Linked DNA regions of Callithrix jacchus. The protein of the gene in region 1 interacts with the protein of each later gene in a biochemical or structural test. Links are inferred from orthologs where the notes say so. Each region holds a gene or a part of one and is shown in the gene's direction. Other genes may lie near its edges.

Evidence for each region.
Region 2: the proteins of COL1A1 (region 1) and THBS1 form a complex in vitro, tested with the Homo sapiens proteins (2 studies listed by BioGRID). The link is inferred for Callithrix jacchus from reciprocal best matches to the Homo sapiens genes COL1A1 and THBS1.
Region 3: the proteins of COL1A1 (region 1) and SPARC form a complex in vitro, tested with the Homo sapiens proteins (2 studies listed by BioGRID). The link is inferred for Callithrix jacchus from reciprocal best matches to the Homo sapiens genes COL1A1 and SPARC.

Annotation. Positions count from the first base shown.
Region 1 is NC_133506.1:116,132,387-116,136,563, forward strand, and holds the start of COL1A1 (collagen alpha-1(I) chain), read left to right. Parts: upstream 1-1,376; 5' UTR 1,377-1,494; coding exon 1,495-1,597; intron 1,598-3,072; coding exon 3,073-3,267; intron 3,268-3,424; coding exon 3,425-3,459; intron 3,460-3,561; coding exon 3,562-3,597; intron 3,598-3,688; coding exon 3,689-3,790; intron 3,791-4,177. UniProt on the Homo sapiens protein: Type I collagen is a member of group I collagen (fibrillar forming collagen).
Region 2 is NC_133509.1:47,076,257-47,080,583, reverse strand, and holds the start of THBS1 (thrombospondin-1), read left to right. Parts: upstream 1-1,484; 5' UTR 1,485-1,633; intron 1,634-2,228; 5' UTR 2,229-2,274; coding exon 2,275-2,341; intron 2,342-2,620; coding exon 2,621-3,180; intron 3,181-4,044; coding exon 4,045-4,120; intron 4,121-4,327. UniProt on the Homo sapiens protein: Adhesive glycoprotein that mediates cell-to-cell and cell-to-matrix interactions.
Region 3 is NC_133503.1:50,621,143-50,624,712, reverse strand, and holds part of SPARC (SPARC), read left to right. Parts: intron 1-18; coding exon 19-81; intron 82-1,128; coding exon 1,129-1,216; intron 1,217-2,655; coding exon 2,656-2,777; intron 2,778-3,570.

The DNA of each region.
Region 1 (4,177 bases):
GGACACAGTGGAAGAAAGGACATGGAGTTCTCTAGAGGCATCTTCCCTAGATATCATATAGCCTGCTGTCCTTTGGGTCCCAGGCACCTTTCAGAGTGTACAGATGATTCTCTCTGGTTCCTAAGGCAGAGAGCAATGACCTGGATTTTCAGTAAAGAGATGAGGCAGTGGCAAGTGGCCTCTAAAATAAGATCAATCATCCTCTGTAACCTATCCACACCCCCAAAGGCAATCACCCAGACCCCCAAAACATCTCACACATCCCCAAAACCGACTGCTGGTACAGCTGGAGAAGGGGCTTTATGGAGCTCCCAGAAAGACACCTCTTTAGCTAAGTGCCCTCCCTCCACCCAGGTTCTCTCTGGTTTGACTGTGCTGGGCAGGAGGTCTCCAAGCAGCCACTGGCCGCAGCCATGGCAGACAGAACTCTTCTCTAAGTCGCCAATGATCACAGGCATCCCAATAAAAATACTTCCCAACTCTGGGGTGGAAGAGTTTGAGGAATGAATTTTTAGGGGATTGCAAGCCCCAATCCCCACCTCTCTGTCCCTAGCAATCCCCCACCCCTTCCTGGCTGCGCCATTGCCCAGTGGCAAAGCTTCCTTCTGGAGAGACCACCTAGTCATGTTTCTCATCCTGCACCTCGGCCTCCCCACCCCATCTCAATCATGCCTAGGGTTTGGAGGAAGGCATTTGATTCTGTCTTGGAGCACAGCAGAATCGACATCCTCAAAATTAAAACTCCCTCACCTGTACCGCTCTCTCAGATATCTGATTCTTCATGTCTAGAAAGGAATCTCTAAATTGTTCCCCAAATATTCCTAAGATCCATACCCTAGCCACACCAGAAGACACCCCCGAACAGGTACATCTTTTTAATTCCCCTGTTTTGGAGAGGTCCTCAGCTGGCCTCTTTATGCCCCTCCCTTAGCTCTTGCCAGAAAAGTCAGAGGGCAAGTGGGGCACAGCCAAGAAGAACCCCTCCCCAACACCCCCAACCCTTCCAACTTTGGAAGCCTCCCCACCCGCTCCCCAGTTCCACTTCCTCTAGATTGAAGGTCCCAGGAAGAGAGCAGAGGGGCACCCCTACCCACGCAGCCCACACGGTTCTGAGGACTCAGCGCATCCCTGCGACAGCACCTCTGGCCCAGGCTAGGCTGGGGGGCTGGGGAGGCAGAGCTGCGAAGGGGGGAGATGTGGGGTGGACTCCCTTCCCTCCTCCTCCCCCTCTCCATTCCAACACCCAAATTGGGGGCCGGGCCAGGCAGCTCTGATTGGCTGGGGAACGGGTGGCCGGCTCCCCCTATCCGAAGGGCAGGGTTCCTCCCTGCTCTGGATCTGGATAGTATAAAAAGGGGCCCGGGCCAGTCGTCTGAGCAGACGGGAGTTTCTCCTCGGGGTCGGAGCAGGAGGCACGCGGAGTGTGAGGCCACGCATGAGCGGACGCTAACCCCCTCCCCAGCCGCAAAGAGTCTACATGTCTAGGGTCTAGACATGTTCAGCTTTGTGGACCTCCGGCTCCTGCTCCTCTTAGCGGCCGCCGCCCTCCTGACGCACGGCCAAGAGGAAGGCCAAGTCGAGGGCCAAGACGAAGACAGTAAGTCCCAAACTTTTGGGAGTGCAGGGATACTCCTCTATATCGTGCCTTGCGCTTGGTCCCGGGCGCCGCGGCTTAAACGGAGACGTGGATGTTCCGAAGACGGGAATGGAAGGGAGATGATAAGGGCTCTTGCTGGGCGCCCTGAGAGAAGAGGGAGCTCACCCTGGGAAGGTTGGGGGTGAGCGCGCCCCAGGAGTGGGAGGTGAGGGTGGAGCGTGGCATGAGTTGGTGCAGGAGAGAATCCCGAGCGCGCAACTGGGAAAGTGGGGATCTGAGTGCAGAGTGGGGGAAGCACGTCGAAGATGGGATGGGGGCGCCGAGCAGGGGATTTGAAGCCCAAGGTGTAGAAGCGATTGGGAAGGCTGTGGGATGATTCATAAGGAAAGATTGCCCTCTCTGTGGGCCAGACTGTTGCTGGGGCCGCGGGGGTGCTGGGCCGCGGAGGAGGGGGCGCGGGGCGTGGGCGGATGGAGGATGTGAAACTTTGGCGTGGACTTGGCGGGGTGGGGTCATTGCTCCCCCTGCTGACCGATGCTGCTCACTGCACCTCCCTGTCCAGCGCTTCTTGGGGCAGAAGCCGCAGCGGGAAGACTTGGGTTTTTGCTGGGTGCGGACCCCACCTCTAGATCTAGAAAGTAAAGCCGAGGATGGGGCAGCCCCAGCCTCTTAAAGAGGTGGCCCGGCCGGCGAGGTTGGCCCCGCCCCAGCCCCATAGCTTAGCGTTGCCCGACACCTAGTGGCCGTCTGGGGAGCCGCTAGCGCGGTGGGAGTGGTTAGCTAACTTCTGGACTATTCGCGGACTTTTTGGTTCTTTGGCTAAAAAGTGACCCGGAGGCACTCGCTGGCTTTGGGGAACTGAGGATGGCCGCGAGAGTGGGCTTTTAAGATGTCTAGGTGCTGGAGGTTAGGGTGTCTCCTAATTTTGAGGTACAAGTCAAGTCTTGGGGGGGACTTCAATCAGCCGCTCCCATTCTCCGAGCCCCGCCCCCGCCACTCACCTGCCCAGGGAATGGGGGCGGGATGAGGGCTGGACCTCCCTCCTCTCCTCCTGCGCCCCCCTCCCGTGCCCACCACGCAGGCCACTCCCCACGAGCCTGCCCTAGCGACGGGCCCCTCCTTCTCCCCATCCCCTTCCCCCTCACCCTGTGGTTTTTATTTCACTTGGCTTCAGCGCCAGTGGGCTGAGGTTGGAGTTGGAAGCCACCGCGGCCTAAAGCTTTGTTTAAATTCCTGAGAACTGGAAAGAGTTACAGCCTCCCTGGCCAGGCGCCTCGGCGCTGTCACCGGCGCTGATGAGGAGCAGGCGAGCTTTTAAGGATTTGAGGAAAGAGGAACCGGGGGGAGGGGCAGGAAGTGAAAAGCCCAAGTGTGCCTCTTAGATCCGGGGGAAAGGTGGTTAAAGTGGGGGTCTTCGAGCCCGATATGGGGGTCCCAGCCTCATGACAACGCCCCTCTTCCCCCGCCTGTCCCAGTCCCACCAATCACCTGCGTACAGAACGGCCTCAGGTACCATGACCGAGACGTGTGGAAACCCGAGCCCTGCCGGATCTGCGTCTGCGACAACGGCAAGGTGTTGTGTGATGACGTGATCTGTGATGAGACCAAGAACTGCCCCGGTGCCGAAATCCCCGAGGGCGAGTGCTGTCCCGTCTGCCCCGACGGCTCAGGTGCGGCCGCGCCCGGGGCCTGGGGCTGGGGCTGGGGCTGGGGCTGGGGCTGGGGCTGGGGGAGGTCGGCGCTCGCTGGCCTTGCCTGCTGGTGACCCGGCCGCCGGGAACGGCCTTAGCAAACCCTGGCTCTAACACGCGTCTCTTCTCCCGCTAGAGGCCACCACCGACCGAGAAACCACCGGCGTCGAGGTAATCTCCCGCCCTAGACTTTTGCTCCTCCGACGCCCGTGACTCCTCACGGTCCTCCCTTCTCTAACCTGGCCTCTTGTTTCTTCTCCCCTAATTCCACAGGGCCCCAAGGGAGACACTGGCCCCCGAGGCCCAAGGGTAAGCGTGAGCTCTCTGGGCTGCCGGGAGCTGCAGGTGGGCGTGGCTCCCGGACCCGCGCTCACCCCGGACCCGCCCTCTCCCCCTGCAGGGACCCGCAGGCCCCCCTGGCCGAGATGGCATCCCCGGACAGCCTGGACTTCCCGGACCCCCCGGACCCCCCGGACCTCCCGGACCGCCTGGCCTCGGAGGAGTAAGTGGAGAGGCCTTGTGTGTCCACTCTCCCGTTTAGTTTTTGGGTTTTGGCAGATGACATAATTTTATACTTTGAAATAATTTCAAACTTACAGAAAAGTTGCAGGAATCCTCCAGAAAACTCTCACATACCCTTCACAGTTTGTGACATGTACTTTATTAGTCTCTGTTTATGTAATCGTGTTTTTTTTTTTTTTCCTGAACTGTTTGAGTAAGTTGCTACTATCAGGCTCCTTTGCTCCTAAAGACTTGGGTATGCTTTTCCTAAAAACAAGAGCATTCTCTTTACTGAGCATAGCACAATGATTAAATTCATTCTCTAATGTGCAGTTCACGTTCAAAGTTCACCAATGTCCCAATAATGTCCTTTACAGGTTCCGCCCCC
Region 2 (4,327 bases), on another chromosome or scaffold:
TGAGTAACTAGAAAACACTCGCCCCATAATACACACACACACACACACACACACACACACACACGACCTTGTCATACAACACTCCCACCCAAGAAAAGCGAAATTGCTGTTTGATGAACGTAAACCCGTGGCTGTTTCCAGCAGTCAGGAGTCCTGCCAGATTTAAGCACTAAGATGGGAAATGAGCCCCAGGGGTTTCCCCCTGCCTGTGCTGCGATCCTTATTTGGTCAAGCTTCTACCTATGCCCTGGCCTCGGAGCCAGCCAGATAGCCTGGACCAAAGCAGAGGGAGCGAGGCTGCTGACGTCCCATCCCGAAGAGATGAATGGAATTCCAGGCAGCTGGAGTCATGCTGGCTTGGGACAGTGGCTTGGAGACCAGACTTCAATGACAGAAGCACTAGGCAGCGGCACTCATGGCAATGTGTGCACCCACAGAAACGTAACTCACACCTCGATTTCAGGAGCCGAAAAATGAAAAGAACGTTTAGGGAGGAAAAAGGGAAATACAATAATAAGCAGAGGGTAATTTATTACTCTATGGGTCTGTTCTGTAAATAGTTGAAGACTCTGGAGCCAGATGGTTCTGCAAATTCTCCAAACAGGAGTCACGTTAAGAAGCACGAGTGGGCACAAAAACTGTTTTCCAAGACACAATTTCAATTTGGCTTGAGGAAACTGGATACGAGTAAGTTTCCTTAAAATTCGAGTAAAGAGCCGCTGTCCTCCCCGGGCCCCTTGATGAGAACACGCATACCGCCCCCAAGCGGCCGGCCGAGGGAGCGCAGCGGCAGCGGGAGAGGCGCCTCCGTGGGCCCCGGGTGGCCGCGGCAGGAAAGCTTCCGAAGGCGAGCGCCGCGCACCGCCCTGCCCGCCCGGCCGACGCCGAGCTCACCTCCCGCCAGGGCGGGCGTGCGGCCAGCCCGGGACGGGGGATCGGGGCACGCGTGGTCCTCACCCCACCGGGACGGTGGAGGAGGGTCAGCGAGGGCCCAAGGGGCCGCTGCTTGAATGAATGGCTCTTTCGGGGTCCCCTGCGCCCCGTCGGCCCATTTTTCTGGTCACAAAACGGGCCCCCTGTCCCATGTACCCCTCTCAGCCCTCGCCCAGGCAGTCCGGGAGACAAGCTCGCCCGAAAGCCCCCGCCCCACCCCGCGGGCCCTGGGTGGTCGCCGCAGCCCAGTCCCTGCTCGGGATGCTCGCTGACCGCCCCGGGCCCGCGTGGCGCAAGAGCGCGAGCGCCGAGCCCGTGAGCGCCAAGGCTGCGTGGGCGGGCACCGACTTTTCTGAGAAGTGCCAGTGCTACCAAGCCCCGACCCCCGCCCCCTTCACTTTCTAGCTGGAAAGCTGCGCGCCAGCAGCGGGGGGCGGAGAGGAGCCCAGACTGGCCCCCTCCCGCTTCCTGCCCGGCCGCCGCCCATTGGCCAGAGGAATCCCCAGGAATGCCAGAACTCCTTTAAAAGCGCGCGGCTCCTCCGCCTTGCCAGCCACTGCGCCCGAGCCGGCCTGCGAGTTCAGGGCTTCTGCAGCTCTCCCGGCGCTACCTCCACTCCGGACGCACCGGCGACACCCCGCCTCTGCAGCCCTCGCCGCCCTCGTCCCCGCTCCTGGCCGCCGCGCTCCGGTCCACACAGGTAAGACGCCTCCGCCGAGGACCAAGGCTGCCCGGGCCACCTACCTGGAACGCTGAGGCTTCGGTCCCTTTGGTGGACCCCGGATCCCACATTCTTCCCCGCTCACCTGCCCCAGCCCGCCCCTCCCGCCCGCTGGGGGACTTTTCAGGACAAAGCTCCAGAGCCATCCTCTCCAGCCTTGGGGTTCACAGACCACCTCATCAGGACACACCAAGATTTCCTTACTGGTCTTCCTTAAACCTTTGTATTGGCAGTCCAGTTAACAGTCTGTACTTTCCCGTGCCCTCTCTGCAACCACTACGGCTCCTGATCTGGTTCACCTTCGACTTCCCAGAAGCCCCCAAATTGTTGGTCTTGCGCCCCCACACTTTAAAACCAGCATCTCTTTCCTCCACTACTCACTCTCACACTCTCTCTCTCTCTCTCTCTCTCTCTCTCTCTCTCTCTCTCCTCTCTCTCTCTCTCTCTCTCAAGTAATCCTGTTGTCCTTCATTCAGCAAAGAGGGATGGCCCCGGCCCCATGCCCAGCCCAGTTTCTTTTTCTGCCCACCCTCCCTGCCTAGCTGATCTCTGACCCTGGGCTCTTGTGCTGCAGGATCGTTCCTGCTACAGGATCCCTGCTGGGCACCAACAGCTCCACCATGGGGCTGGCCTGGGGACTAGGCCTCCTGTTCCTGTTGCAAGTGTGTGGTACCAACCGCATTCCAGGTGAGTTTGTGTGGCACCTTTACGGGAAGGAGGGATGAGGATGAGGTGCTGGCTACCCCAGGTGTGCCCCCTGACATGCTGTTCTCTCCCAGCTCCTTTTCTCTTGAGCCAGACTGGACATCAGGAGGCAGCTTCCCTCTGATCCTGGTCTTTATTCAGCTCTTTCAGTGGTTGCCAGGAGTTTCCACCCCAGCCCTTGCTCCCCACCCCTAAGGACTCAGCCCCCTACTGCTGGTCCCAGCCTAGAAATCTCACTATATGTTCTCTCCTGTCTAACAGAGTCTGGGGGAGACAACAGCGTGTTTGACATCTTCGAACTCACCGGGGCTGCCCGCAAGGGATCTGGGCGCCGACTGGTGAAGGGCCCTGACCCTTCCAGCCCAGCTTTCCGCATTGAGGATGCCAACCTGATCCCCCCTGTGCCTGATGACAAGCTCCAAGACCTGGTGGACGCTGTGCGGGCAGAGAAGGGTTTCCTCCTTCTGGCCTCCCTGAGGCAGATGAAGAAGACCCGGGGCACGCTGCTGGCCCTGGAGCGGAAAGACCACTCTGGCCAGGTCTTCAGCGTGGTCTCCAATGGCAAGGCGGGCACTCTGGACCTCAGCCTGACGGTTCAAGGAAAGCAGCATGTGGTGTCTGTGGAAGAAGCTCTCCTGGCAACCGGCCAGTGGAAGAGCATCACCCTGTTTGTGCAGGAAGACAGGGCCCAGCTGTACATCGACTGTGAGAAGATGGAGAACGCTGAGCTAGACGTCCCCATCCAAAGCGTCTTCACCAGAGACCTGGCCAGCATCGCCAGACTCCGCATCGCAAAGGGGGGCGTCAATGACAATTTCCAGGTGAGGCTTCTTCTCTGAGCCCTGCTACATGGGATCATCTGCTAGACAGGTGACCTGCCAGGAGGGCTACAGGAAATCCTGAATGTAAACTAAAGCAGCAGTTCTCAGATTTTAGGCAGCATGAGCATCACCTGGAGGGCTTGTGAAAGCTCACACTGCTGCACTCCAGTCCCAGAGTTTGGGATTCTGTAAAACTGCAACTCAATTACAAGTACCAGGTGATGCTGATGCTGGTGGTCTGGGAAGCACACTTTTAAAACGACTCAAGGAAACAAGAAATGGTTTTCCTTCAGCAGTCAGCCTGTTCAAACGTTAGATACTCCTTAAGCTCTTAAGAAAATCGCTTATTTCATATGCATTCCCCCAATTTTAATCGTTTGAAATTGATACTTTCTATGGGCAGAATCAGTACCACTTTGCTATCGGAGTTCTCATGGGGATGCAGCCAGTCTCACACAAAAGGTTAAAATAGCAGTGAGCTGTTGCTGTTACAGCTTCTTCTGTGCCTTAACTTCTAGATCTTTGCAACTGTGGCTTTGATCTCCCATATTTAACTCTTTGACACTGGGACGTGTCATTATATCCTCTGGGCTTAAGATCAGATTCCATTTCCTGTGTACCCAAGTAGACTGATAACTGAATTCTTTATAAAATACTCAAGACTTGGCAGAAGTCGCAATTAAGATGTTGAAGTTTTTTGGCAATTTATGTTGGTGTGTTGTTTTGACACAGTGATCTTAAAAAAGCTCTCTGAAGCTTTTAGAATATCTGTTGTGTGCTTTTCCTAGCACAAAGACAGTCTCCCCCAAACCCATCCCACATCCTCTCAGCATTCTACATGTAATGTGTGTCCTCTGTCCACAGGGGGTGCTGCAGAACGTGAGGTTTGTCTTTGGAACCACACCAGAAGACATCCTCCGGAACAAAGGCTGCTCCAGCTGTGAGTACTCCTTTATCCTTAGGGCTCATAGGGAGATGGGGGAATTCCACTAAAAACAAGGGGAGGAATTTAGCAATAGTGGTTATATGTCAGTTACCCCCAGTAAGATCATTAAGCATACAAAAGAGACCTCAAGGGGTACTGTGCACACACGTACACACACATGCCCACATACAACCCCTCTACCTTCATCCTTCACCCCAAATG
Region 3 (3,570 bases), on another chromosome or scaffold:
CCCACTTTCTCTTTCCAGCAGCAAGAAGCCCTGCCTGATGAGACAGAGGTGGTAGAAGAAACTATGGCAGAGGTGACGAAGGTAGGTGAGCAGTGACTACAGCCCCTTAGCCCCTCTCTACCCGGATCTGTGCCTTGAGAAATTAGGGCAGGTGCAGCAGGTCTCAGTGCTAGGGTAGGGCATTCATCTCCACATACACATAGCATAGATGCAAACCCTGAGTATCCCCCACATCCTGACACACTGCTGAATGCTTCCCAACCCTTCAATGGAACCCTACGTTTGGGGGACAGGACCTTGAAATTTTTGTATTTTAAGCTGTAAAATAATTTTTCTTCCATGATTATCCATAGTTTCCCCAAACATAAAACAGAGGAAAAGGGAGATGCTCGGGTGTGGCTGGTCGGGGTGGAGGTTGACACCCCCTTGTGAACCTCAAATGTCTGAACTAGGTCTCAGTCAATTTAGAAAGTTTATTTTGCCAAGGTTAAGGATGCACCCATGACACAGGAAGTTCTGAGACTGTGCCCAAGGTGGTCGGGAGTAGTTTACTTTTATACATTTTGGGGAGGCATGAGACATCTATCAGTATGTCTAAGTTTTACATTGGTTGGGTTGGCTAAGGCAAGACAACTCAAGAAGTGGGAGCTTCCAGGTTAGGAGTAGATAAGAGACAATTGGTTGCATTCTTTTGAGTCCTTGTTCAGCCTTCCACTGAATACACAATTGAATCGGGCTCAGTGAGTCTGCATTTTTACATAAGTAACAGGGCAGAGGAAGCAATCAGACAATGGTTTATCTCATGTGAGCCTCAGAAGGATGACTGCATAGAATGGGAGGCAGATTTGTCCTATGCAGTTCGCAGTTTGACTTTTCCTCTTAGCTTAGTGATTTTGGGGTCCCAAGATATATTTTCCTTTCACACTCTCTTTCCTTAACATCCCTGGTGGTTTCTAAGGCAGCTCAACAGAATCCCGGGCATACTATAAAACACAGTGGGTCTATAGATTAAATCTGGATTCCCAACCCTGCATTTGAGCTTTCTGTGACCTGAAGCCCTTCGGGTACCCTTATGGGTCTGGGATGGGAGTGGGGACCATTATACCCATTCTTCTCTACCAATTCCAGGTATCTGTGGGAGCCAACCCTGTCCAGGTGGAAGTAGGAGAATTTGACGAAGGTGCGGAGGAAACCGAAGAGGAGGTGGTGGCTGAAAGTATGTCCCTTCCCTGTGACTTGGCACATCCAAGCTGCCCTTGGTTGCCTGGGGGTCTGGGGCATGAGGACAGCCTATGTGAGGACCTACCATTTCCAGTGGAAATGCAGGGTGGGGTCCTCAGTGGGCTATGGAGGAAACACCGCTTTGACTTAACGACTGAGAAACTGTGGTACTCAGTCCCCTGGGATCCGGGCAAGATCGGATTACAGGCCATCCATGTGCATGGCGGGAAGGAGAGTTCTCCAGCTGGAAATAGCCTTCTCCCCTCATAGCTCTTGCCCTAGTCCAAAGCTGAGTTTCCCATTCCCATGGGGGTCCCTGGTCACATCTGGTTGCTGAAATCCCCCATCGCTTCTGTCTCAGTTCGTGCCCCACAGAGTAGTAGATCTGAGAGAAGAGATCAGGAACTTGCACACTCATAAGCTCATTCTATTTCACACAGCCCAAGGAAACGAGGTCTGCAGGAAATGAAACCTGACATAATTCATACCACGCTATCCATGCATTAGAGCCCTGGGGGAGCAATGACCTAGGGGCTCTGGCTCCAGCTCTAAGTGCAAGGCATTTGCACCCAAGGGGTTAAGAGCATGGATTTTGGAAGCAGTCCAACCAAGCTTTGAACCTAGGCTTCTCCACGCCAGCTTGCTTAACTCCTCGGAGCCTCAGTTTCTCATCTCTTACATGGGGTGGATGGAGATGGCAGACCTGCATCCCAGGGCTGTCAGGAGCTTTTCAGACAAGCTGAGTAGGCATCCAATAAAGGATTATTAAAATACTCAAAATAAGCATGTCAAGGAAAAGGCCACATTAGGCTCTCATCCTGAGGGGAGAGCTAATGGTGTTTGATCTAGCTGGGCACAGGGTTTCTACTGGAACAGAGGGACAGCTACTGAGTTATGTTCCTTCCTGCCTCCTCTCCCACCTCATCCGGTGTTTACCATGCTCTATTGTCCAGCGTGGGCCTTGGGGCTTTTCTGCCTTTTCCTTTACAGCCACTTAAGTCTGTTTTGTTGGGCCTCACAGCTCCCTGGCTCATTGTCAACATCTGACTTTCTAAGGCATTCTAGAAAGCTTATTCTGGAATCCAGAAATGCCTCACTGTGACTGCTCAGTGATGACCCAGGAACACAATGGTTGCTTCAATCTTTGGGGAAGTCATATGGCATCTAGTGTTTCTGGGTCCCAGACTGAGCCTCCAGCCCCTAAAAAGTGCCTGACCGCTATCTCGAAATAAACCTCTAATCCCCAGACTGAACCAGCTGCTCCCTAAATGCTGACTGCTAGGCTCAGTGCAAGAGCAGGCAGGACTCTGGACTGCCCAAAGCCCAGAGTAGGAGCCACAGCCAGGGACTTTCAGCCCTGAGATCTGTCCAGGTAGGATGGGGGTGGATGTGCTAATCCAGGTGAGGCTAACTCCTTGTCTTTCTGCCCTACAGACCCCTGCCAGAACCACCACTGCAAACACGGCAAGGTGTGCGAGCTGGATGAGAACAACACACCCATGTGTGTGTGCCAGGACCCCACCAGCTGCCCAGCCCCCATTGGCGAGTTTGAGAAGGTGAGGGCTGAGGGATGGGGATGGGGATAGGGATTGGGCACTTCAGAATATAGAGTGCCTGCTCAGGAAACTGTTGGCTTGGTGGTTCTATGGGCCAGCGCCAATCTCAGAAGTCCCCTTCCTAGACCTAATCCCAGCAGGAAAGAGGGAATGAGTCAGAGTGTACCTGGCAGCAAGCAACAAGACTTGAAACAGCATCATCAGGTTACAAGCCCTATGCCAGACTCTTATGGCTAAAAGCATAAGAGCATCAGCAAAGAATCAGGTCCAAAAATGTGAGTTCTGGGGTCAAACAGAAGGTTGACTTCAAACCTCATCTCCATCACTTGTTAGCTGTGAGATCTCAGCTAAATTGCCGAAACTTTTCAAGTCTCAGTTTTTTCACCTCCAAAGAGAGAATAAAAATAGTTCTTAACTCATAGGACTGTTGTGGGGATGTGTCAGAAAATGCTTGGTACGTAACAAGTACCTAATAAATACTACTTATTTTTAAATTATCTCTCAAATATGTCCATTCTGTCTCCAAGGACCCATCCATTCGTCCATCCATCCGTTCATCCACCCATCCACCCATTCATCCATCCATCTATCCAAGTAAATATTTTTTGAGTGCCTGCTCATGCCCACCATCATGCTAGTGGCTGTCTAGTTCATGGCGACAAATCTGGGGCCAGTATTGTTCCTACAGCCTCCCATCTGGCTTCTCCATCTTCAGTCTCTCCAGAGACAACATAGCCTCTGATCTCCACATTGTAGCATCATTGTTAACATTTTCTTCCTCCTCACCCCACCC